7 linked regions of the Ovis aries genome follow. The protein of the gene in region 4 interacts with the protein of the main gene of each other region in a pairwise test. Links are inferred from orthologs where the notes say so. Each region holds a gene or a part of one and is shown on either strand. Other genes may lie near its edges. The genes, in order: SIK3, NEU4, PRKAA2, TRIP6, GSE1, FRS3 and OIP5.

Region 1 (3,500 bases), on a different chromosome or scaffold from region 4:
GCTGCCGCTGCCGCTGCTGCCTTTTGATGAGCTGTGCAAACTCCGCCGGGGGCAGCCGCATGTCCGAGTGGCCGGTGAGTGAGTGCCGGGGGGAGAGCAGTCCCTGGAGGATGTGGGGCACCTGCTGGTGTCGCGTGTAGTCTGGCGGCGTGGGGGACAGCAGGGCCTGCTGCAGTGCCGATGTGGTATAGTGCGGTGGCTGCTGATGTGCACTGGGAGGGAAGGTGGGGAACTGGTCAAGCGGAGGGACTTTCAGGGCTTGGGTGGGAGGTAACCCCGCTCCTGGTGAAGGGTTGTAGCTGCTGGGGGAACCCCGGGACTGGTCCGAAAACAGGTGGGGGTGTATATGCGCCTGGTCGTAGTTAGCAGGGGAGAACCGATTCACGTTCAAGCTGCAGACACAAAAGGGAGTGAGTACCAGGCATCCGTGTGACAAGTGGCCAAACTCCCCGGGGAACGGCTACCAGTCCTCCTCAGCAGCGAGTCTCTGCTGGTACAGAGAACCACAGGGCCACAGGGAGGATGGGGGCGTAGGCATTACCCCCACCACCCCCTTGGGCTTGAGGGTAGCAACATCACTTGAATTAAGATGTGCCCATCTCTTAGAATATGAGTGATGGAAAGAAATAATCCTAGAAGAACAGAGAAGGGGGGTAACTGAAATTTTTACCTACTCCTCTAACTGGCCCTTTTCTTCTTTGCAGACCTATAGTCAGGTGGTAGTGGTGTTTAGTTGCTAAGTCGTGTCTGATTTTTTTGTGACCCTATGGACTATAGGCCACCAGGCTCCTCTGTCCATGGGATTCCCCAGGCAATAGTACTGGAGTGGGTTGCCGTTTCCTCCTCCAGGGGAATCTTCCTGACCCAAGATCAAACCCACATCTCTTGCACCTCCTGCATCGGCAAGCAGGTTATCACTGCACCACCTGGGAAGCCTATATGGTAAGGTAGCTGCGTCATTATCCTCCTGCATCTCACTAGCATTTTGATCTTGAGTCAATATATAGGTTTCAAGTCCATCCCAAGCCCACGGCCTCATTTTTAGTCAGGCTGAAATGAGCACAGCCCAGTCAGAGCCCTTCTGTTCTCCCCTCCTCCTACTAAGGGGCTTCCTCCCACCTGGGTCCCCCGGAGAGATGGCCGGGAGACTCCGGGCAGCCTCACCTGTGGGCCTCCGCACTGTCGGCGCTCAGCTGCTTGGACAAGGGCCGGTGCCCGTAGCTGAGGGCGGCCATCAGGCTGGTCCGGAGCTGCATCTGAACCTGACTGGTGTTGGGGCTGATGGAGGCGCCCCGGCCTGCAGGGGTGGCAGCGGCCCCAGGCATGCTGCTGAGCATGTCGACAGGCTCCTGGACTTGGACGGGCACCTGCTGTGACTGGGGGGGCTGCTGTATGCCCAGGCAGGTCAGTGCCACGTTGGCAGGAGGGGAGCGGTTCTCAGGCTGCTGCTGGAAGACGGCACTGCGGGAGGGGAAGCCTTGAAACTGGGAGGACGATGTAGCACCTGGGGAGAAAGGAGCCCCAGAGTGACCACATGCCCGGGTTACCTGCGGCCAGGGGCCACTGAGGATGCTCAGCTCGCACACCACCCAGGGCAGGGCTCCTCCGACTCCAGGGCATGGAAGCTTCCTCTGGGGGATCTGTGAAGACACACACTCCGGGGCCCAACCCTCAGAAGCTGACTCAGTAGGTAAGGATGGGGCTCCAAGAATTTGCAATTCCAGGAAACTGCCCGTTGATCATTCTCTGAGCAGCTCTCATTCAGGGCAACGCTTCTCAAACTCTAATGCACGTATGAAGGGCCTGGGGATCTTGCTAAAACACAGATTCTGTTCCAGCACGTCTGCAACAGGATCTGAGATTTGATTTTTCCTGCTGATGTTGCTGGTCAGGGACCCCACTCTGAGTAAGAAGGGCTTTGAGTCCAACTCAGGCTCTTCAGGGGCTCTAGACTGAGTGGCGTTACTTAAAGAGATTCTCAGTTTTCGGAACACTAACCCCTCAGAATGCTGGCCTCTGAAGGACCGTATAAATTAGGGCCCGCTCATCTTTGCCTCCATCTGAACACCCACAAGAGAGGAGCCATGTGCCCAGAGGACCACCAAACTCAGGCGTGACAAGAGGGACGGTTCTGGTAGTAGCCCATTCGTTTGGTACAGTTGGAAGGGACATCAACTGTATGTTGATGAAACATATGTTATGAAAACATCAATACCAGTCAACCACTATTTGAGAACTATATTGTTCCAGGGGCTATTTTAAGTATTATACCTAACATATGTATCTCATAGTCGTATTATCCCTGTCTTACATTTGAGGAAGCAGAGATGCCCTGAAGTTCAGTGGTCTACCTGTGGTCTCACAGCTAAGGAGCTGGCAGCAGCAGGAGCCAAGCCAAGGCAGCCTGGCACTAGAGCCACTCCCTTACACAGCATGTTGCTCCGTCACCCCAACCAGTGGCTTGGGGCAATCAAGACGAAGCCTCACTTCTCCTGCAGCTCACGGCTCAGAGAAAACCTCTGCACTCACCGTGAGACTGTATCATGGCGCTGCTCATGGGGGGAGGGCTGTTACTGGGCTGTCTGAAGAGATGGTTGTTGGGATGGTTGGGAGGTGGGCTGGAAGGCTGAATCCTTAACCTTAAAAAACAACAGAACCAGATGAGTAAATACACTTCCTGAGGTGACGATATAACCTTGAAGTTAGTTTCAGCCATTTGATACCCACAGGCAGAAACTCCACTTTTAGTTTTGATAAGCTTCCAGGCTAGAAGGCCACCCATCACAGTCTACTGAAAGCCTGTCTACATCTTATTTTCCCAGATGTCCCAAGGAGGCAGGGGTCACTGTGGGCCTGCATCTGGCCTCCTGCATTAGGTGTCAGATTACATGGTTCATGGGGATAAGAAAATGAAGTGGCACAGGAAGTCAGGATTTTAGAAAGCTGCCGAAATTTAAATTGGTCTTCCTGCTTTTCAGATGGGTTTTTCCAGGGTGACTGCTATAGTCAGTCATGTGAGTTAGGCCAACAGCTTAGGCAAAGAACATGTTTCATTACCTCTGGAGCTGGTGGGTGAGGAGGGCGGGCTGATTTTCACATGCAGCCTGAAGAGGTGGAGAAGGCTGAGGAGCACAGATAGAGTCCTAAAATACGTGCAAGAAAGGAGAGAAAAATGCTCGTGAGCTTGAAGACTAACCAGGGCCATTCTCGGGACGGGAAGAGACTATCTGCGACTGAGACTTATGCTCCCGCCGTTCATCGAAAGGCTTGATTACCTGGACTCAAACATGGCAACCACACAAATAACTCAACTCCACTCTGCCCTGCGTGATCTCCTCCAGCACCGACAGGCCCATTGGCCTGCGAGCAAACTCCAGACAAGTTGGAGAAAGCGGAGAGGGAAGGCCTACTTGAATCTGCTGCTGGAGAATTTGGTGGTGCTGCTCCTGCTGGTATAACATATGCTGCTGCTGGGTCTTCTCCAGGGTTCTTTCATCAAT
Region 2 (2,024 bases), on a different chromosome or scaffold from region 4:
CTGTGGGTTCCCTGAGGGCTGACCACCCACTGCCCTCTGGGGCCAACCTGCCCTTGGCTTGTGGGTGCTGACCCAGAGGTCACTCACACTCTGGCAGGTGGGAGCTCTCTGCTGGTGTGGACCCCACCCCAGGGGACTCGATCCCATTGTTAGGAGGGGCTGCTCAGACCTTTCAGCCCTCAGCTGCCCCTCTGCCTGGGCATACTGGGTCACCGGGCACCACCAGTGGCCATGCATCCGTGCTCGGGGACCGGCTGAGAGCCCAGCCCGGGGCCGCCTCGGCTTGCAGCTCCTGCTGACGACCCGAGAGGCTTGTCCAGCCTGGGGGAGGGGCCCGGAGGAGCGGAGGGTGGGGGCTTCCTCCCGAGCTGTCCCCTAATGAGGGGCCCTGGCCCCCGACCCTCCCCGTCCCGCGGGGTGGTGGTGCCGCCTGCCTGCGGCCACAGCTGCCCCCTCCTGGGTGACCCGGGCCCCTCCTTCCTGCAGACTGGGCCACGTTTGCCGTGGGGCCCGGCCACGGTGTGCAGTTGCGCTCTGGCCGTCTGCTGGTGCCGGCCTACACCTACCACGTGGTCCGGCGGGAGTGCTTCGGCCGGATCTGCAGGACCCGCCCCCAGTCCTTCGCCTTCTACAGCGACGACCACGGCCGCACCTGGCAGCGTGGGGGCCTCGTGCCCAGCCTGCGCTCGGGCGAGTGCCAGCTGGCCGCGGTGGACGGCGGGCGGGCCGGCGGCGTCCTCTACTGCAACGCTCGGAGCCCCCTGGGCAGCCGCGTGCAGGCCCTCAGCGTCGACGAGGGCACCTCCTTCCTGCCCGGGGAGCTGGTGCCTGCCCTGGCCGAGACTGCCCGGGGCTGTCAGGGCAGCATCGTGGGCTTCCCGGCCCCGCCCGCCAGTGGGTGGGGGGATGAGGGGCGGTCCGCGGGCACCAGCAACCCCCTCTGCCTTCCACGCCTCTGTCCTGGGGCCGGGGAGGCCCCAGAGGAGGGCACTGGAGACACCGGTGGGGGCGGGGGCCTGGGTGGGATGGAGGGCTGTGGCGACGGCCCCGGGGAGCCTGGTGAGAACTGGGGCTCCTGGGCCTCAGCGCTCCCGGGACCCCCTGCAGCCTTGTCGCAGAGCCCCACGTGGTTGCTCTACTCCCACCCGGTGGGGCGCAGGGCTCGGCTCCACATGGGCATCCGCCTGAGCCGGTCCCCGCTGGACCCCCACAGCTGGACGGAGCCCTGGGTCATTCACCAGGGCCCCAGTGGCTACTCGGACCTGGCGTCCATCGGGCCTGCCCCTGGGGGCGCGCCGACCTTCGCCTGTCTGTTCGAGAGTGGGGCCAGGGTCTCCTACGAGGAGATCTCTTTCTGCCTGTTTTCCCTGCAGGAGGTCCTGGAGAACGTGAGGCGGGGCAGGGTGCACCCCGGGCCTGGAGACAAGCCTGCGGGGCGCTGCCAGCCCTCCTGATGAACCCCTGGCTGGGTTCGGCCCTGGTGCCCAGCAGGGGCAGGGCGGAGGGCAGGGCGGTGGGCGCTGGGAGGCGGAGGGCAGGGCGGTGGGCGCTGGGAGGCGGAGGGCAGGGCGGTGGGCGCTGGGAGGTGGAGGGCAGGGCGGTGGGCGCTGGGAGGCGGAGGGCAGGGCGGAGGGCAGGGCGGTGGGCGCTGGGAGGCGGAGGGCAGGGCGGAGGGCAGGGCGGTGGGCGCTGGGAGGCGGAGGGCAGGGCGGAGGGCAGGGCGGAGGGCAGGGCGGTGGGCCCTGGGAGGCGGTGGGCGCTGGGAGGCGGGGGCACAGGTCCCGTGGGCAGGGGGCTGCCCCCGGGTGACCCGCGCAGGCCCCCTCCCAAGGCTGTCCGCGGGCTGGGGGCCTGGGGTGGGAGGGGGCACGGGGATCCTAGTGGAGCACACGGGGCTCGGTTGTCGGTACGGCCTTCCTCTAGCCTTGCTTGGCTCACGACTTTCTGGCTTATGAGCGAGAAATAAAGGGATTCTGCGTCACTTTCCACTTTCACGCATTGGAGAAGGAAATGGCAACCCACTC
Region 3 (3,500 bases), on a different chromosome or scaffold from region 4:
AATATATATTTTTGAAGACACATGACTTCTGTTATGATACATGCTAAAACAGGTGGACTATTTTCTCAAGGGATTTCAAGTTGATTAAAACCATGTTTCTCAGCCAAGAATGCTATTCTCTAATTCAAAAATATATAGGTACCCAACATCAACAGTTCTTCATCCTTATGAAGATTTGTTTTGTTTTGAATGCATATGGTACATTATTGGAAAGAATAGGATTTATCAGCCCATTTATTTATTGAGACCACTAAATTCACATCAAAACCAACTTTTTATTGATTTTAGTATTCAATTCAGCACCTCAGACAGGCTTACTATACGGAAAATGGCTTCTACAAATGATCTTCATATACTACAATTTCCTACCTTCCATTCAAAATCCAGCTGCTTCATAGCTCGGTAAACTTCAGCCATAATGTCATACGGTTTGCTTTGACTTCGGATTCCAAGATGCCACTTGGCTTTTTTCACAGCTAAAGATTTGGGCTTAGTTGTATTCAGTGCATCCAGTGGACATCGTGCTTTGGGGCTGTCTGCTATAAGAGGTGGCATCCTTTCTGGATGAGGTTTCAGGCCTGGGGGAATATGCATGGTACTATCATCCATAAAAGAACCGGTAGGGGGACTAGAGGCGAGGTAGAACTCACTGGCTTGGTTCATTATTCTCCGATTGTCAATGATAAGATGATAAGCCACTGCAAGCTGGTCTTGAGGGTCACCACTATATAAACTGTTCATTACTTCTGATTCTGTACACTCAAATTTTTCACACACTTCTTTCACAGCCTCATCATCAATGACGTTAGCATCATAGGAGGGGTCTTCAGGAAATAAGTAACTGGGCAAATCTTGTTTAAACCATTCATGCTCTCTAGGAAAGATACCACAATACACTATTGTAAGAACATGCTTTGGCAAGTCCCAAATAATTTAGACATGGGGCAATACAATATATCAGAATCAGAAAGACCTGGGTCTCTAGTCACTTACTAACTATGGGACCCTTAGGTAAGTTCACTAACCCTTGCTCTAGAGTAACTATGATTATTCAGACTTGGGTATTTTACTGATATTTTCACAAAAAGAGATAAAATAAGTCTGTCACTTCAAAGGAAACAACTGGCAGTATTTGGTGCCAGTGATGAAATTCAAGCTTTCAAGTAAAATGTTAGAATTCGGCTTATAACAGAATTCTATATATATATAGAATTGTATATAACAGAATAATTTATATATGTTTCCATAAGTTTGACAGCTTCTCAATATTTAAGAGACTTTTCTACTTTTAGAGTGAAGAGGATAATGACTATGATTTGATAGTTTATAATGAAATGTGTTATCATTCTGACCACCAGGCTATCTCACTAACCCAATATTTTCCATATGACCAATGCAAGATGTTACATAATCATACACGGGCAGAAGCTCCACTCAAAAGGCAAAACAGACCTGTGGATTTCAGTGTAATAAAGTACAAAAGTTCACTGGTATGTTTTCTGATTTGATATTGCAATTAACATATTAAGCTTTGATTTAATATCAAAGGAAAATATCTAACTATGTGAAAGACTATGAGAATGTTCCTCCCTGTTCTAGCAATATCTGAGATCAGATATGTTTCCTAGACTTCAACTAATACAACATATTGCAATAGATGAATGAAGAAGTAGGTATGAAAACCTAGCTGCTGTCTCTGATAAACAGGATTTGAAAAATGTAAAATATCCTCAAAAAATTCTAGCAATTAGAATCCAGCAACACATTAAAAAGATCATACACCATGACCAAGTGGGCTTTATCCCAGGGATGCAAGGATTCTTCAATATCCGCAAATCAATCAATGTAATTCATCACATTAACAAATTGAAAAATAAAAGCCATATGATTATCTCAATAGATGCAGAGAAGGCCTTTGACAAAATTCAACATCCATTTATGATAAAAACGCTCCAGAACGCAGGAATAGAAGGAACATACCTCAAGATAATAAAAGCTATATATGACAAACCCACAGCAAACATTATCCTCAATGGTGAAAAATTGAAAGCATTTCCCCTAAAGTCAGGAACAAGACAAGGGTGCCCACTTTCACCACTACTATTCAACATAGTTCTGGAAGTTTTGGCCATAGCAATCAGAACAGAAAAAGAAATAAAAGAAATCCAAATTGGAAAAGAAGAAGTAAAACTCTCATTATTTGCAGATGACATGATCCTCTACATAGAAAACCCTAAAGACTCCACCAGAAAATTACTAGAGCTAATCAATGAATATAGTAAAGTTGCAGGATATAAAATCAACACACAGAAATCCCTTGCATTCCTATACACTAATAATGAGAAAGTAGAAAAAGAAATTAAGGAAACAATTCTATTCACCATTGCAACAAAAAGAATAAAATACTTAGGAATATATCTACCTAAAGAAACTAAAGACCTATATATAGAAAACTATAAAACACTGATGAAAGAAATCAAAGAGGACACTAATAGATGGAGAAATATACCATGTTCGTGGATCAGAAGAATTAATATAGTGAAAATGAGTATACTACCCAAAGCAATTTACAAATTCAATGCAATCCCTATCAAGCTACCAGTGATATTTTTCACAGAACTAGAACAAATAATTTCAAGATTTGTATGGAAATACAAAAAACCTCGAATAGCCAAAGCAATCTTGAGAAAGATGAATGGAACTGGAGGAATCAACTTGCCTGACTTCAGGCTCTACTACAAAGCCACAGTCATCAAGACAGTATAGTACTGGCACAAAGACAGAAATATAGATCAATGGAACAAAATAGAAAGCCCAGAGATAAATCCACACACCTATGGACAGCTTATCTTTGACAAAGGAGGCAAGAATATACAATGGAGTAAAGACAATCTCTTTAACAAGTGGTGCTGGGAAAACTGGTCAACCACTTGTAAAAGAATGAAATTAGATCACTTTCTAACTCCGCACATGAAAATAAACTCAAAATGGATTAAAAGATCTAAATGTAAGACCAGAAACTATAAAACTCTTAGAGGAGAACATAGGCAAAACACTCCGACATAAATCACAGCAGGATCCTCTATGATCCACCTCCCAGAATTCTGGAAATAAAAGCAAAAATAAACAAATGGGATATAATTAAAATTAAAAGCTTCTACACAACAAAGGAAAATATAAGCAAGGTGAAAAGACAGCCTTCTGAATGGGAGAAAATAATAGCAAATGAAACAACTGACAAACAACTAATCTCAAAAATATACAAGCAACTTATGCAACTCAATTCCAGAAAAATAAACGACCCAATCAAAAAATGGGCCAAAGAACTAAATAGACATTTCTCCAAAGAAGACCTACGGATGGCTAACAAACACATGAAAAGATGCTCAACATCACTCATTATTAGAGAAATGCAAATCAAAACCACAATGAGGTACCACTTCACACCAGTCAGAATGGATGCGATCCAAAAATCTGCAAGCAATAAATGCTGGAGAGGG
Region 4 (4,289 bases):
ACAGGCATCCGGCCAGCCCATCCATCTTATTTCTGTAGCCCCCTGCATGGGATTCAGTGAAAGGTGACCTTGAACAGATCTGAGTACTGACCCCAGCACTGCAGCTTCCTGGACAAGTTATTTAACCTCTCTGAGCTTCATTTTCCTTCAGCAGCAGTAGCTGCTTCACTGGGATATTGTGAGAATTTAGCACCTTCCTATAAATCTAAAATAAATGCCTGGGACTTCACTGGCAGTCCAGTGGTTAAGAATCTGCCCCGCAAGGCAGGGGACATGAGTTCGATCCCTGGTCTGGGAAGATCCCATTCGCCTCAGAACAACTAACCCCATGCACCACAACTACTGAGCCTACACTCTAGAGCCCGTGGTCTGCAACAAGAGAAGCCACCGCAATGAGAAGCCCACGCACCGCAGCTAGAGAAAGCCGGCTGGCAGCAACAAAGTCCCAGCGCAGCCAAAGATAAATAAATGCTTCACACGTATGAGGGAATATCGTCCTTCTTTTCCAGCAGCCAGTGTGGAGCTCCTTACTTCATTCATCCCTTCTTCTCGTTTATCAATGTCAGTTCCCCTGCTTCAAGCCCTATTCCTCTAGTTTCCAACTCATTCTAATTGCATGGAAGCCCTCCTGGGCCCCAACCACTCACCACATAGCAGCTCTCACAATAAGCCCTCCTCTCCACAGCGTAGAAATGCTGGCCCCGGAGCTGGGCCCGGCACGTAGAACACACAAAGCAGCCTACATGGAAGACGCGATCCAGGGCCACGACCCCGGCCCCATCCCCGACCACGTCTTCTCCGCAGCCACCACAGCGGCCTGGGGACAGGAAGGGACAGGGTCAACCCCCTCACAGGCCGGGAAGCCAGATCCGCTGTCCATCTGACTCTGCAGTCCCACCTCCCTGAGGTCGGGGGTCAGCTCACCAAAGTACTCCCCACTGGGCGGGTGGTTCATGTCGTGCACCAGCTTCTTGGTCAGTCTCTCAAGTTCCTCCTCGGGAGGCTGGCTGAGGGGCACCTGGGAGGTGAGACTCAGAGGTTTGACCCTACCTCTAGCTCCCAGTGCTGTCACTGAGGGTCCCCAGGGTGACCAGACCGTTCTACCCAGAAAGCTTATCACAGAACAAGTCCCAGCCCAGGGGCCGGGGGAGCCCCTCTGGCAGCCAGGGTGTAGATCTAGGCCCCTCCGTCTTTTAGTCCTGACCTGCCCCACATCCACAGGGGATCCAGAGCCCCAACATCCCAGACCTCCAACATTAACACTCCTTCCCCTACACCCCACCCAGTCAGCATCCAGTTGTCTTTGATGGACCCGAAATCCCAGGGCCCAGGGCGTACCTGGGACCCGTAGCCGCCTCCTCTTGCACCTGCAGGGCCGGAGACCCCCGGGGCCTCCTCCTTAACCCCCGGCCCTGGCTCGCGGTGGCTCCTGTAGCCAGTCCCCCAGACTTCACCTCGGCCTGGAAGAGGAAAGTGGGGGCCCGGGGAGTGCCCGGAGGCCTGAGAGGCCCCCCGCCTGGGAGGGCCGCAGCCTCTCACAGGCTGTGCCACTTTCACTTGCACAGGAAAGGCCGGGCCGGCGGGGGTGCTGGCTGTAGCATAGGAGGCCGGAGTGGGGCCCCCGTAGGGGGACCCTGGGAGCGGCGGGGGAGGAAGCGCCCCTCCATTCGGCCTCAACGGGCCTGAGCCTGAGCGGTAGGCAGGGGGCTCAGGGGGCTCGTAAGCCTGGGGAGAGACGAAGAGCAGGAGTGAGCTGGGCCCATTTCCAGGACACCCATCTGTAGGAACCCCCCTCCCCCGACCCCTTGAGGCACCCAGGCAAGAACCAGCTTTGACAAGGGCCCGGAGTAAGCATCCCTCACATGGGGCTTGTGGGCGGGTGGGGGGCGTTGGGAATGGGGGGGTGGATTCAGAGTAGGGAACAGGGGAGGGGCGGGGTCAAGGATCGGAAGGGGCAGGGGCAGGACAGGGGAGTCACCTGCCGGTCAGATCGCCTCGGGGCGTGACCTCGACCCCCGTCCAACTCAGCCAGCATGCTGGTCAGGGAGTCTATCTCAGCATCCAGACTTCCCGGGCGCAAGCCCCCCCTGTCTGGGGGGAGGCCCTGGGGAAGGAGCAAAAAGCAAGGAGAAATGCAATCCCACGGTCTCCCCTCCTGCCCTGAATCGCCCCATCCCCCAGCGCCTGTGCTCACCTGCGAGTGCTGGGGTGCTCCATGGCACCCCACCCAGGCCAGCCCCCGGTCCTCTGGTCCCCCGGGGGTCTGGTAACACTGCTCGGATGGGAGGGGGCAAAAATTGACCCGGGGGTGGGGCTGGAGCGCTGGGGTGAGGGAAGAGAGAGCCAAGGTGGGGATGAGGAAGGTCAGGGTGACGACGCCCGTGGAGGCCACCGTCTTGGGTCCCTCTTCGCCCCTCACCCTGCACCTGGGGTCCGAGAATAGGGCCAGGGGCAGGGAGGGCTGGGAGGGGAAGGGGCAGCAGGGGCCTGCTCAGTGGGGCGTGGACGGCGCAAGGCAGAGCCGAGAGCGCTGGTGGCCCGGGGGCCTCTGGGCCTCACTGGGGCTGCCTTACCTGATCCGTGGGCCGGGGGTGGCCCCGAGGCCCCTCGGGGGAGCGCTCTCCCCTGAGGGGCTCGAGCAGGCTCCAGCTGCTTCGGGGGGAGCCAGGTGGGCCCGGACATGGTCTGGAAAGGGGGACTCCAGACAGCCGGTCGGGCCCCACGGAGCCCCGGGGCTCTGACTTGGATCCCTTCTTCCGTCCCACACCTTGCTTGGGACTCCAGGAAAGAAACTTTTTCTGGCTTTTTTTTTTTTCCCCTTCCTCCCTAATTTTGGGGATGGCCACGCCCCCGGTGACATCATCGCATTCCTGGGGGAGGGTCACGTGGCCCCCTAGGCCCTAAACTGCCGTCCCTCCCCGAGTCAGGCCCCCTCCTGCGAGCAGGGAGCGCTTTCCTCGGGAGCCCCGGGAGCCTCGAGTCTTCAGGCTGCCGGCAGCCTGCATCTCCACCAGCACCCCCCCACCCCCAGGCCGGCGCCCCAGGTCCCACACGTGGCCCCCTCCCTGCTCGGAGTCTCTCCAACGCCCCTCTGTCCCCATCCCCCATACAGATTTCTCCCTCTTTCCATCCCACGTACCCACCCCCTCCCCTCTGCTTCCAGAAATGCTCAGCCGGTATTTAGTGTTTTGATCTTTTATTCACATTGAGCAGTTAGAAAAATAAAAGAACAAAAACATCACAACCTCAGGGGTCGGGGGTGGGGGGGTCTGTTGGGCGAGGTGGGGGGCGGAGACTGAGGTAGCCTAGAGTCACAAGCGGAGACCCAGCCCCCGGCAAGGCACGGGTGAAGGGAGGGAGGCCCGAAGGGAGGGCTGTGGACTCCTTCCCCAGGAAGGTGGTGGGGACAGCTGCCCTGCGTTAGTAACTGCACCCAGGGCCAGGAGACCAGGATGCCCTAATACGTCCACCAGGGGCTGAGTCCCACGTGCGAGGCTGGCACAAGACAGCCCTTCCCCTTCTCACCCTCCTCTCACGGTGGGCCGCCGGACCTGGATGCTCTCTCTGCTTGGCATGGGCCTCAGAGATCAGTGCAAGTAACAGGAGTGACACCGTGAATGAGCAGCGCGGGGCCCAGATCGCGGCTCAGAATTTCCAGAAGCGCCAGGTAGCGCAGGTAGCGGGCAGAATCAGCAGGCGGCCGCGGCAGGTACAAGAAGGTGAGGGCAGTGGTGGGCCCCACCTCGCCGCCCCCTTCCTCAGGCCCACCAGGCCCTCCTCTACCACGCCCCTGCTGGGCCCGAACCAGGGCGTTGGCGCTGCATGCCAGGGCCTCTGCCTCAGCGTCTCCCCGCCTGCCGTTCACAAAGTCCCCTTCCTCCTCCTCCTCCGGCTCCTCGGAGGCAGCCCCCTCGCCCCACACCACCTCCCGCACCTCGGCTCGGATCCTCAACTGGCTCAGCAGTGCCCGCAGCCGCCCCTCGGCCGCCCCCGGGGCCTCCCGAGGCCCCAAGCACAAGAAGATCCGGAGGCGGGCACTGTGCCAGGCAGGCACCATGCCCAAGATGGTCGCCATCTGCAGCAGGAAGAGGCCGCACACGTCCACGTAGCCGGGCCCACCCCGTGGCCGCAGCAGGTTGAGGGGCCACACGTCCACGTGGTGCAGCTGGGAGGTGCCCCCAGACCCCCGGCTCAGCCGCTCGGGAGGCAGGGCCCCACAGGCCCGGGCCAGGACCACGTTCTTGTTCATCTTCAGGGCGTCTGCCACGGTGGCCACGTAGTCCTGGGGA
Region 5 (3,500 bases), on a different chromosome or scaffold from region 4:
CTCCGCAGCGCGTGCAGCTCGGCCACGGGCAGGAAGGCCGGCTCCAGTGCCTTGGCGGCCAGCAGCTCCTTCTCGCGGGCGCGCTGCTCCCGCTGGCGCTCCAGTTCACGCTCCTTCTCGCGCTCCAGCTCCTTTTCGCGCTCGCGCTCCTTCTCGCGTTCACGCTCCCGCTCCTTCTCGCGCTCGCGGTCGGCCTCCCGCTCGCGCTCGCGCTCCCTCTCTCGCCTCAGCTCCTCGTCCACCTGCAGCCTGGAGGTAAGGACAGGGATGTGACCTCCGTGGCGGGAGAACCCCCAGGAGCGAGGCGCTCACACGTGAGCCCGGGGTTCTCCCCGCCCCAATGGGAACGGGCCGCGGGCCAGGTTCTGCTTTGGCTAACACGCCAAGAAAAAACTCAGCGTCCACTGGAGACTGAAAGCCGTGGACAGAGACTCTCCAGGAGCCTGGAAAGCTCCCGGCCGCAGCCAGCGATTGTGAGGACATGGCCTCCAGACAGCAGCTGGGAGCTCCCGGCAGTGCCCCTTCTGCAGACAAGCAGGCCGAGGGCAGGGGTGGCTGTCCAAGCACAGCTGGCCCAGCCACGCTCTCGAACGGGGCTCGCTTACCTCTCGGCGCTCAGGCTGGACATCCGCTCTGAGTGCAGCGCCGCCAGGGATGAGTGGGAGAGCTCAGGCGGGTAGCGGACACCCGAGAGGTGGAGGTGCATGGCCGACGGGTGCAGCGGGGGCAGGGAGCCGGGGGCAGGGATGGGGTAGAAGGGGGACCGCAGGGCTGACAGGCAGTAGGAGTCGTCCATCCTGTGGGGGCAGAGGGGGCCGGTGAGCGGCCACGGTGGAGAGGAAGGCAGGACCCAGCTCCCCCCCAGGCACAGGTACTAATGCGGGAGCGGCGGACAGGGCCTCCACAAAGGTCCCGGAGAGCCCCCTTCCACAGCCAGCCCCAAAGCCCTGCACTCCCAGAGGCCACAAGGCCCCGCCGGCCACCCCTCAGCTCAGCTGGGCCAGGCCCAGTGGGGCCCCTCCAGGTCTGACCATCTGACCTGGGAAGCTCCTACACAGAGTGGAGGCATAGCGCCGTCTGCTCCGGGCACTAACAGTCACGCGCGCCTGGGGAATCCTGAGTGGAAGTGGAGGAGCCAGGGAGGCCAGCTGGCGCGAGAGTCTCCCTCCAGGAGTAAGCTCTGGACGGCGCATCCAGAGGCTGGGGGAGCGGCCCACCCCACAGTCCCCCCGTCGGGGAACCTGGTCTCAGACCGGGGTCTGCCCGCGGGTGGCTGGGGACGTCCGGACGCCTCACCTGAAGGCCGGGTGCGGGAAGGGGTGCGGGGCCAGGTAGCTGGGGTGATAGTAGGCTGCGGCGGTGGCCGGGTCCAGGCCGAGCGGGGGCAGGGAGGACACGCGGAGGTCCTCGGCCGTGTGGTAGGGCCGGAAGCTCCTCAGGTAGTCCTCAGTCACCGTGCTGGGGGGTACCACGTGGTGCACAGGCCGCTGCAGGCTGCGGGCGGGAGGGGGCGGCGGAGGTGAGCTCCGGGCCCCTGGGCCACCGCCCAGCCCCCCGCCACCACCTCCCTCCTCGAAATGGCAGTCCCTGCCGGAGGCCCAGGGCCCAGAGGTGGGCAGCTGCCGCTCCTCGGGCCGGCCTGACCCCTCACCAGAGGGCACGGGTCTGTGACCTGCAGCGTGGGGAGACCACCCCCCACCTCCGGCCCTAGGAGCCAGGCTGGGGGGTTAGGGTCAGGCAGGCAGAGAGCCCGCCGCGGGCACAAGTGGCAACGGCCAGCAGGGCTGCCAGCCCAGGGCGCGGCCACCACCGGGCAGCTCTCGGGCTCAGCTGGTATCGACTCGCGGCAGCCAGAACCTTGGGGGTCCCACCCCACACCGTGCCCAACCCCCAGCCCACACTTACTTCAGCGGTGGGAAGCGGGAGTCCTGCACCACCGAGCTGGGTGAGATGCCGAAGGGGTAGGGGGTGCTGAGCAGGTGCGAGGGGATGGCCGGGCCCCCCGCCTTCTCCTGGGGCAGCGGGGGCTCCACGATGAGGCGCTCGCGGCCACTGCTGCCGCCCCGGGAGCTAGCATCCTGCTGGAGAAGAGAGTGCAGGTCAGGGCCGAGGGGCAGCTTGTAGCTCGGCCACCGGCAGTGGGCCAGGCCTTCCTCCGGACACACAAGAGCAGTCAAGCTTCAGGGAGACATTCTTGCAACAGTCTCCACGCCACGGTGGGGGTGACAGCCGCTGAGTCCCTGCCCACCGCCCACCCGATCACCCGATCATGCCGGCGTCCCAGGGGCCCAGGTGGCAGCTGCTGGCCTGCCTCACAGATCACTGGGCCTCAGTGCCCCCGGAAGATGTGGCTGAGCAGCTGGCGCTGCCTCGGGCCAAACAGGCCAGCCTGTTCCCCCCAGACAGACCCTGGTCGGCCCTGGCTCTGGCCAGAGCAGGCAGCTGTGGGGCCAGACCTGTCGGGGGACCTCTGCTCACTGGTGGGGGCTGTGGGCCCGCCTGCCCAGACTCCTGTCCAAGAGAGGGACCTGGGGCCTGGAGGGTTCAGTGGCGGGGAGACCCCAGGAAACCAGAAGGGGCTCATGCAAGGCAGGAAGGGAAAGGCGTTGCCCCACCAGCCCCGGCCACACAGAGGAACACCCTGCAGGCCCACCCGCAGGAATGTCCGGCTGCAGACTGGCAGGCCGTGGAGAGGCTCGGTCACTCCGGTCGCTGACACGGCCGGAAGGGAGCAAGCGGCAGGCATGGAGCGTTAACAGCCACTGGCCCAGGGTCCCGTCGCCACACGGCCAAGGAGGACGCGGCTGCCTGGCCTCCCCGACCCGAGAGCTCCACGCGCCAGGCCCTCCCTCGCCAGGCCGCATGGTGCCCTCCTCACCTGGCGTCAAGCCTGGCCCAGCCACCCCAGTTAGCAACAGGAGAGCAGGACGCAGCGGGTCAGGGAGACACCCTCCGCTGTCTGCCTGGCATCTCCCCCACTGGAGTCAGAAGATGGGGGCGGCAGAGCCTCAGGTCACCTCGCTCCCCATGCGGGGGGCACAGGAGGGACCACACAGCTCCCGGAGAGAGGAGGGGCCCACCCATCACCGTGTCTACGGAACACCCGGGCAGGCGGCTGTGGCACCTCCTGGGCCCCAGAAGACGGCAGCGGCGGGCCATGCCGTGGCCAGGCCGCCCGTGCTCCCACCCCGAATGGCAGGCCGCCCCTCACAGGGCGTGAACTCCGACACCCTCTTTCCCAGGCGGGCTTCACCAGGCTTGGGGGGTCGAGGGCGAGCCCCCCACGCAAGTCAGGGCAGGAAGCCAGCACTCCCCTCCAGTCCCCAAGGCCCTGGATGGGCCCCCATGACTGACCCTGCCCAGGGGCCCCCGCCTGCTGGACGTGCACAGGACGCGGGTCCTGCACATACAGCTGCAGCCCTTCACACCCCCGCCACTGGCACGGGGCACAGCCAGAACGAGAGGGGTGAGGCCTTGAACCCTGTGCCCGGGGTCTGGGC
Region 6 (3,947 bases), on a different chromosome or scaffold from region 4:
GGGACTCTCAAGAGTCTTCTCCAACGCCACAGTTCAAAAGCATCAATTCTTTGGTGCTCAGCTTTCTTTATGATCCAACTCTCACATCCATATATGACTACTGGAAAAAGCATAGCCTTGACTAGATGGACCTTTGTTGGCAAAGTAATGTCTCTGCTTTTGAGTATGCTGTCTAGGTTGGTCATGGCTTTTCTTCCAAGGAGCAAGCGTCTTTTAATTTCATGGCTGCAGTCACCATCTGCAGTGATTTTGGAGCCCAAAAAAATAGAGTCTCTCACTGTTTTCACTGTTTCCCTATCTATTTGCCATGAAGTGATGGGACTGGACACCACGATCTTAGTTTTTTGAATGCTGAGTTTTAAGCTAGCTTTTTCATTCTCCTCTTTCACTTTTATCAAGAGGCTTTTTAGTTCCTCTTCGCTTTCTGCCATAAGGGTGGCGTCATCTGCATATCTGAGGTTATAACATCTATCTCAAATTTATTTTTGATGTTCTCTTCAAATGAGATGTTATGTTATGGTTAAGAGATATATTCAGGCAATTGAAATTGAAAACAGAGCACTATTTTCATAACCTTGAGTAGGCATTTCTTCATTTAAAAAACACTCGGTTTGTTCCCTTTTGTCCAAATGGGAGACCAGAGGCCTTACTACCCGGCTTTTCCCTCCCGGATTATGGGACTCAAATTGTATGTCACAACATTTGGGACTGTGGCTGGAATGGCGATGACACCACCAGGCTACAGTGACCTAAGGGACCAAGCAAACCCATGGACCAATCCCAACCAGAAATTATGGGTTTGCAACTTGCTGCAAGAAAGGAATCGGTGGGACTAGATACTTTCTAGAACTCCCATTCAAAGTGTAAAGTCTTGAACAATCCTGACCTGCACCCTCAATTCCTCCCAACTTGGGAAATTCTAGAAAAGTGGCTCCTATACACGGGTCTCACCTCACCCAGGCCATTGGAGAGCTGACCATGGGAGGGGCATGGGGAAGGACCCCCACTTTATTCCCCCTGTTCTTGGTGGGGTGGCATGGCAAGCAGTCTGCAGAGAAGTCACCTGGATCTCCCTGGGACACACCTGGGGCTCACCTAGCATAGGAGACAGAGACCACAGGTTAGTGGAAAACTTCTATCCTCACCCCTCAATGGTTGATGAAACTGACTTGCTGTCAGTCCACCCCACTGGGATATCCGTTCCAGGCTATAATGGTATATAAAAGCCAATGAAGAAAGATCAAGGCCAAAGGGACCACAAATTCTAAGCCCCATAGGCCCTGAGAGGGAAAGACTACCCTGGAAACAGTGACTTTGAAGTCCGAGACAGGCCAGAACATTTTAAGTCACTTCTAGACCCCCTCTGAATCCTGTTACAACCAATACCAAGATCATCACCTTACCTTTGCAGAGAACTTGAACTCTACAGAGAGATCTCTCAAGAGGACACGAAGATGTATTGGAAAGAGCAATGGCTTAAGATTCAGGAAACCAATATTCTATGTTGCTGCTAAGTATCACAGAGAGTCTGTCAAGCAGACCCTCCATCGCCACCCACAACTCCCACCCCAACGCCTTTAAGGGAAATAGCTTTCCAGTTTTTTACAGGAAACAGCTGTAAAATATGGAGCTTCACCTCTAGAAGTAAGTACATAGGACAAACACCACTAAAATCAACATTTTCCTCTTCTAGGACAAGCTCCTTCAATTTCACATTTGGAACCTTGATAGACTTTCTGTTCTCCAAGCTCCAAAAGGCCTATAATTTAACAGAAATGCTATCAACCAAAATTTCAGTAATCTGAGCCCTAGGTGGACAAGTCAACAAGCCAGGACCCTGGAGATCCTTGAAATCCCACCCTCCTGCTCTGGAAAAACAAGGTCATTTCCCAGGGCCCCATGTGCTCTGCATCTTTGGGTACTTTCCAGGTAAAAGGACCCCTACCCTCTGTCTGGCTTACTCTCTGGAAGGGGCAGCGGGCTGAGGAAGATGTGCACAGCTGGGTAAAGACGGGCAGCTGGGTAAATACTGGGGCTTGAGCCACCAACAGGGAGTGTGGGGGTGAAGCCAAGAACTGCAGGGTGCAAGATGGGAGAGGGCGCTGTATCTTTTCCTGTTTCCTTCACTGCTCTTAAAGATACCAGAACATATGACAGCCCAGCTAAGGGGGTGACATCGGGTGACAGGAGGAGAAGGCTCTGCTCTGAGACAGATGTGGACTGGGAGTAGGAGTTTGAGGTTATGGAGACTCAAAACGTCTGAGAGGGATTGGGGAAAGGTGGACAGATGCTTTGGATTTGAGCACGGTGCAAGGAGAATGGAGAAGCATGAAGACTCGGAGGAATTTCAGGACGGCGGAAGCATCTGGGTTCATCCCAGAGAGAATGGTGGTTCTGGGGGCGTAGCAGGGGAATTTGCAGGAGACCGGGGTTCTCGGGACTCCAGGACACGAGAAGGTGTGTCGGGGGTGGGGATGGGGTGGTTCTGGGAGGTTAGAGGCAGATTTAGGTAACAGAATTGACGGGAATTTCTAGATGCCGGGAAGGAATAGGGGAGGTCAGGGCCGCGCGTAGTCCCTAGATGCCCGCCCCCAGCCCCGGGGCTCCACCGCCCGCCCTCCCGGGACTTCCTCGGGAGGGAGCGGAGACTGCGGCGAGGCGCGGTGCGGCCTCGGTGGAGCCGCTTCGTCCCCGCCCCGCCGCACCCCGACTCACATCGCCCCACGGCCCGGGCGGCGCCGGGCCCCGCTCCCGGGTCCCACTGCAGCAGCCGCCGCCCGCCCGGAGCTAAGGCCTCCCCGCCCCGCGGCGGCGGGGTCGGAGGTCATCGGCTGCACCAACGAGACGCTGCGGGCAGGCGGACCCGATCGGGGGCGACCGGCGCGCAGCCTAGAAGGTCCCTTTGGAGGACTTTGCGGTAGCGAGCAGGGAGCATGCGCAGACACCAGAGGGCGCTCCGGGCCAGCGGCAGAGCTAGCCTAGCGGGGACGGGGCGGAGCCTGGGGCGGGGGCGGGGCTCAGGGCGGGGCCGAGGGGACCAGAGGTGGGACCAAAGGTTTCCACTCCAGGGATGAGAAAAAGGACCGGAGCCAGGGCGGGACCGGGGAGAAACACGAAAGATGGGGGAGGAACTTGAAGGGATGGGACGGGGAAGGGTCGTACAAGGGACCCCAGAAAGGGGCTGGGGACAAGGGGGAGGGAACTAGGTGGGGGTGGGGACACACAGACAAGGGCGGGTCTAGGAGACCAGAAGAAGGTCTGGGGGGACCTGCAGGCTTCGAAAGGCGTTTTGTTCAGCGAGTGCTTGAGAACCCGGCATAACGATGTCTCCTGGGTGTCTGCTCAGCGCCCGCAGAGATGCGGTCCCAGGACTAAGCCCACGGGCGTGGGAGCAGTGGAGCCTGCACCGTTTTCACCCGATATCCCTCAAATGCTTTCCTTCACTTAGCGGCTCTAGGCCCCTCCCCGAGCCGTCGGGCCCTACCAGCCCCGGAGAGGCGGACGGGGCCCGCGGGGCGGGGAGTGGGGGTGCTGGGAGAGGAAGGGCCGCGCTCTCGGGGGCGGGCAGAGGCGGGCGCCTAGACCTGGAGGTGGAGACTGGGTGAGGGGCCCGACAGCGGCGTCTGTGCAGAGCTGCCCGGACACCAGCGCTCAGCAAGGGTGAGACCCCGGCGAAGTCCCGTCCCCTCTCCTAAACTCCAGCAGCCGCACTGGGCACTCCAACTGACTTGAGAACCACACCGCTTCCCGCTTCGGAGGTGGGCCCTGAGAAAGCCAAGAAAAAACCTGGGGATCTGTCAAGAGGGCACTTGGCAGTACCAGAAACTTCTCGAACCTTTCTTCCTCTCACTGTCCGGGGAAATCTTTCATCCCTTACACCCCACCCCTCAACTTCCCAATCCCTGGCCTCTGCCCTTCAGGAAAGTAGAACTCCTGAGCCCGTTTAC
Region 7 (3,500 bases), on a different chromosome or scaffold from region 4:
TTATTCCTTGAAGAAAATTTCCACAGACTTAAGGTAGCTATTTTATTTGTCATTTGCTTCAATTTTGGCAGTTTTGTTGCAGAGGGGGGTCCATGGAGTTACTCAGGCCATTTCAGAAGTTCTCTCCCATACAGATTATTTCTAATTACAGTATTTACTGATCCTGCTGACCAACTTAGTTGCTCAGAACAAGGTTTGGCAAACTATGGACTGTGGGGTAACCTGCTGCCCATCTGTTTTAATAAAGTTTTATTCCAAGAAAACTATATCCATATTTTATATATTGTCTATGGCTGCTTTTGCACTACAATAGCAGAATTGAAAAGTAGAGACTTCATGGTTGAGCTTAAGATATTTGTCATCTGCTCTTTTACAGAAAAGTTGGCCAATTCCTGGATAGAACATGGTTTCTTTCATAAGCTTAATTAACCGTGCAAAAAAGAAAAAACAAAACACTGTTCTCCTATCCTAGAAAGTACTTAAACTCTGAAAAATAAATGCCCTGGTTACTAAATGTATAATTACCAAGGAATAAACTATTAAGAGTGCTAAAAACAAAACCAACAGTAAATTCTAAGGTGGTTCTTCTGAGGGTAGTAAAATAATAGCCAAATTCTATTCAGAATAAGTCAGCAAGCTACCAAAACAAACCTGCTTTCTTCAACTCAAAACCATCAAACACTAGTAAAACCCATTTAAATAAGAATCCTTAATAACGGTTTTCAACACTCTTTCCTCCGAGATATCTAAGTGTAAGGTACTTGCAAAGAAGTCAGATTTATGAAGGATGACAGTCCACACCCAGCACAGAAAGGAAGAATAGGAATGTGAAGCTCAGCAGCTCTCCATCTCCTCCTGAACCAAATCTGACAATACGGCTTCACTATTTTGCTTTGTATCACAGATTCAATAAGGAAGGCCAAACCAAGTACAAAGAATTATTAGTGTATCCACCATTTCACTATCCCTAAGTTCATGGGTACAGATTATCAGGAACTGTCTATATTAAAGAAAACACACAACCATCATGAAAATTTACCTCTGCAACCTTTTCTGGTAGAGGGACGATGTGGAGATCCATCTCAGATGCATTTACTATGGCTTTCGTTTTTAAGAGGTAGCTAGATAGAAAGTGTAAAGAGAAAACATTAGTACCATACCACAGTTATGATGATTAAGGAAACAAACTTGTAATACCTATCAAGCAAAGATTGCCTTCTTCCTGATACCCATTTCTTGATTTATAATGTATTTCACAGGAAAAACATTCTCAATTACCAAGTCACCAGAGAGACACTATGCCTCATCTCACCCTTTTCCAGCCCGGAATCCACTAGTCAAAATGATCCCAGGACAAACTAAAGCCAGAAAACCAGGGTCACATGAATAACTGTAATGAGTGTAGGCCTCACAGACCACCAGTAGACTACAGCACAGTTAGAAGGAAAGTTATCACATTGTGACAAATACTGCTGGTTGCCTACCCAACAGCCATTCCTCAAGGCTTTCTTGCTAACAGAACCCAGATTTTGTTTAGGGCAGCAGTGTGCCCAGTCCTAAGAGATGAATCATAACTGTTCTAGGCTAACTGTGAAAATCTTATTCCCTACTGTCACACAGTTGCTTTCCCAGCTTAAGGGACCTATTCCCTGCATTCCCACACTTTCCATATCCTTTTCCTTCCAGTTCTGGATGCTGCTCTTTAGAGATGTGATGCTTAAAACCTGCAGCATCCAAGAGAAAAAGCCATGAGAACCAGCGATACTAACCCACAGCTCTGTCATGGCTGAGCTACTAGGACAATCCTGGAGTAGCCAACTGTCCCACCCTGTTCTTAAAGCCACTCTTACGTTTTCTGTTACTAGCAACCAAATTCATTCCAATACCCACAGACATAGACGTATCATAGTCCCAGACTCAGGCTACTGTACTTTCCTAATTTCTTTTTAAAAAATTTTCATTATTTTTATGTTATATTGGACTATAGCTGATTACCAATGTTGTGTCTTCCTGACTTCCACTTAATCAAAAAGAATGTATTGACCTTTGAGTCCAGTTCCTCATTTTAAAAACGTAAGACATTACTTAAAATAATGTTTTTTCAAATTTATATTAAAATTTTTTTGTTACTAAAAGGTTACTTCCCTAAGCAAAAACTCAATTATAACTGTGCTAAAGTAATTCCTTATAACTATTTCTAAAAAAGATTTGAGGTTATTAATAGCATATATTTAGAGATACTTTTCCTCATATCTTTAAACCTAATTCTAAATAAATAAAAATTATTTTAAGAATGAAAGAAAATGAAATCCCAATCCATCTCAAGAACATATTTCCTGTTAAAAATCTACACTGAACAACCTCATGATAAAGGGGTTTATCAAAGCACATTAAAAAAAGAGAAGAAGTACACTTCTGTTTTATGAATGGAAAAACAGGCTTTGGAGTTAAGACATACACTCAAATCTCAGCTCCTCCACATTTGCAAGCCTGTTTTCTTAAAAACACATTGAGGGAAGCATAGCACCTCACTGGCTATTTTTGTTTCTAATGATAATGAAAAGACTTTGACAGATGTTTCAATTTGTTGAAATAACAGAAAAGCTTAACAAAAAGTAGAATTTATAATTAGAAATATAAGAAATATCTAAAGTAATTCATAAGAAGGAACAACCAATAGGGAACTTTTTCTGACTTTATAAGGCCACATGATAATTATTTTTTACTTTATCTGCTTCATTCTTTTTCTGCAGACAAAATTTCTCTGCATTTATACACACAACATATAAAATATCTACCTCAAACCAAGAGCTTTCACTTCCCCATTGCAGCACCTACACCATCTACAGATGACCAATGTCTTTATGCTTTTATTTCAAATTATTAGGGTTAGAAATCCTGACTGACCTAGCTTAGGTCAGGTCTGTTTCTGATCCCATCACCTGGGAGTAGCATCACATAGGATACAGATATAGCCACAAGGTCCTGCACTGTAGGAGGCAAACAGAGGCTGGGCACGAACTTGAAAAGTGTCTATCACAGCATTAGTTTGCAAAAACTTACCTTCCAAAAGTTCCTGGAATGAAAGAATATCCTCACAGTATGATTATTAATACGTAGTAGTATTATGAGACATTTATAATAGTCATGTATTATGAGACTTATTTCGGTCCCATTGCCATCTTTTTTGTAAGAGCAGTATAGCACCTGGCTTTAGCATCTTCTCTAATACAAACATTCTGCCTTTTCTGGAAAATGTTCTAAAGTTTATTTGCTGAAGAAAATCTAAGTCTACTTACCACACCATTTTGTCACTGGAAAGGCAGAAGTGGCCTCTCAAGGCAGCCAGGGCAGTACGGGTAGAATATAGGTGGAAACCAATGGGAATCTCACAGGAACTACATAATAAAAGGTTGTAAGTGCTGGAGGGAAAAAAAAACAGGATATGAGTAAGAAAGAAAATCAGGGAACAAATACAAAATAACGTCTCTGGACTCATT

Evidence for each region.
Region 1: the proteins of TRIP6 (region 4) and SIK3 interact in binary tests that used the Homo sapiens proteins (3 or more experiments, as listed by UniProt). The two-hybrid records come from large-scale screens. The link is inferred for Ovis aries from reciprocal best matches to the Homo sapiens genes TRIP6 and SIK3.
Region 2: the proteins of TRIP6 (region 4) and NEU4 interact in binary tests that used the Homo sapiens proteins (3 or more experiments, as listed by UniProt). The two-hybrid records come from large-scale screens. The link is inferred for Ovis aries from reciprocal best matches to the Homo sapiens genes TRIP6 and NEU4.
Region 3: the proteins of TRIP6 (region 4) and PRKAA2 interact in binary tests that used the Homo sapiens proteins (3 or more experiments, as listed by UniProt). The link is inferred for Ovis aries from reciprocal best matches to the Homo sapiens genes TRIP6 and PRKAA2.
Region 5: the proteins of TRIP6 (region 4) and GSE1 interact in binary tests that used the Homo sapiens proteins (3 or more experiments, as listed by UniProt). The link is inferred for Ovis aries from reciprocal best matches to the Homo sapiens genes TRIP6 and GSE1.
Region 6: the proteins of TRIP6 (region 4) and FRS3 interact in binary tests that used the Homo sapiens proteins (3 or more experiments, as listed by UniProt). The two-hybrid records come from large-scale screens. The link is inferred for Ovis aries from reciprocal best matches to the Homo sapiens genes TRIP6 and FRS3.
Region 7: the proteins of TRIP6 (region 4) and OIP5 interact in binary tests that used the Homo sapiens proteins (3 or more experiments, as listed by UniProt). The two-hybrid records come from large-scale screens. The link is inferred for Ovis aries from reciprocal best matches to the Homo sapiens genes TRIP6 and OIP5.

What each region holds. Positions count from the first base shown.
Region 1 is NC_056068.1:27,259,059-27,262,558, forward strand, and holds part of SIK3 (serine/threonine-protein kinase SIK3), read right to left. Parts: coding exon 3,411-3,500; intron 3,144-3,410; coding exon 3,058-3,143; intron 2,640-3,057; coding exon 2,530-2,639; intron 1,505-2,529; coding exon 1,165-1,504; intron 393-1,164; coding exon 1-392. UniProt on the Homo sapiens protein: Positive regulator of mTOR signaling that functions by triggering the degradation of DEPTOR, an mTOR inhibitor. Involved in the dynamic regulation of mTOR signaling in chondrocyte differentiation during skeletogenesis.
Region 2 is NC_056054.1:175,575-177,598, reverse strand, and holds the end of NEU4 (sialidase-4), read left to right. Parts: intron 1-486; coding exon 487-1,454; 3' UTR 1,455-1,524; downstream 1,525-2,024. UniProt on the Homo sapiens protein: Exo-alpha-sialidase that catalyzes the hydrolytic cleavage of the terminal sialic acid (N-acetylneuraminic acid, Neu5Ac) of a glycan moiety in the catabolism of glycolipids, glycoproteins and oligosacharides.
Region 3 is NC_056054.1:31,252,211-31,255,710, reverse strand, and holds part of PRKAA2 (5'-AMP-activated protein kinase catalytic subunit alpha-2), read right to left. Parts: intron 875-3,500; coding exon 370-874; intron 1-369. UniProt on the Homo sapiens protein: Catalytic subunit of AMP-activated protein kinase (AMPK), an energy sensor protein kinase that plays a key role in regulating cellular energy metabolism.
Region 4 is NC_056077.1:36,218,563-36,222,851, forward strand, and holds the start of TRIP6 (thyroid receptor-interacting protein 6), read right to left. Parts: upstream 2,801-4,289; 5' UTR 2,683-2,800; coding exon 2,574-2,682; intron 2,323-2,573; coding exon 2,195-2,322; intron 2,105-2,194; coding exon 1,979-2,104; intron 1,726-1,978; coding exon 1,339-1,725; intron 1,019-1,338; coding exon 925-1,018; intron 818-924; coding exon 648-817; intron 1-647. Other genes in the region: SLC12A9 (solute carrier family 12 member 9), read right to left, coding at 3,581-4,289. UniProt on the Homo sapiens protein: Relays signals from the cell surface to the nucleus to weaken adherens junction and promote actin cytoskeleton reorganization and cell invasiveness. Involved in lysophosphatidic acid-induced cell adhesion and migration.
Region 5 is NC_056067.1:11,173,734-11,177,233, reverse strand, and holds part of GSE1 (genetic suppressor element 1), read right to left. Parts: intron 2,082-3,500; coding exon 1,906-2,081; intron 1,495-1,905; coding exon 1,297-1,494; intron 798-1,296; coding exon 606-797; intron 250-605; coding exon 1-249.
Region 6 is NC_056073.1:15,624,630-15,628,576, forward strand, and holds the start of FRS3 (fibroblast growth factor receptor substrate 3), read right to left. Parts: upstream 2,801-3,947; 5' UTR 1-2,800. UniProt on the Homo sapiens protein: Adapter protein that links FGF and NGF receptors to downstream signaling pathways. Involved in the activation of MAP kinases. Down-regulates ERK2 signaling by interfering with the phosphorylation and nuclear translocation of ERK2.
Region 7 is NC_056060.1:34,990,849-34,994,348, forward strand, and holds part of OIP5 (protein Mis18-beta), read right to left. Parts: intron 3,423-3,500; coding exon 3,300-3,422; intron 1,122-3,299; coding exon 1,040-1,121; intron 1-1,039. UniProt on the Homo sapiens protein: Required for recruitment of CENPA to centromeres and normal chromosome segregation during mitosis.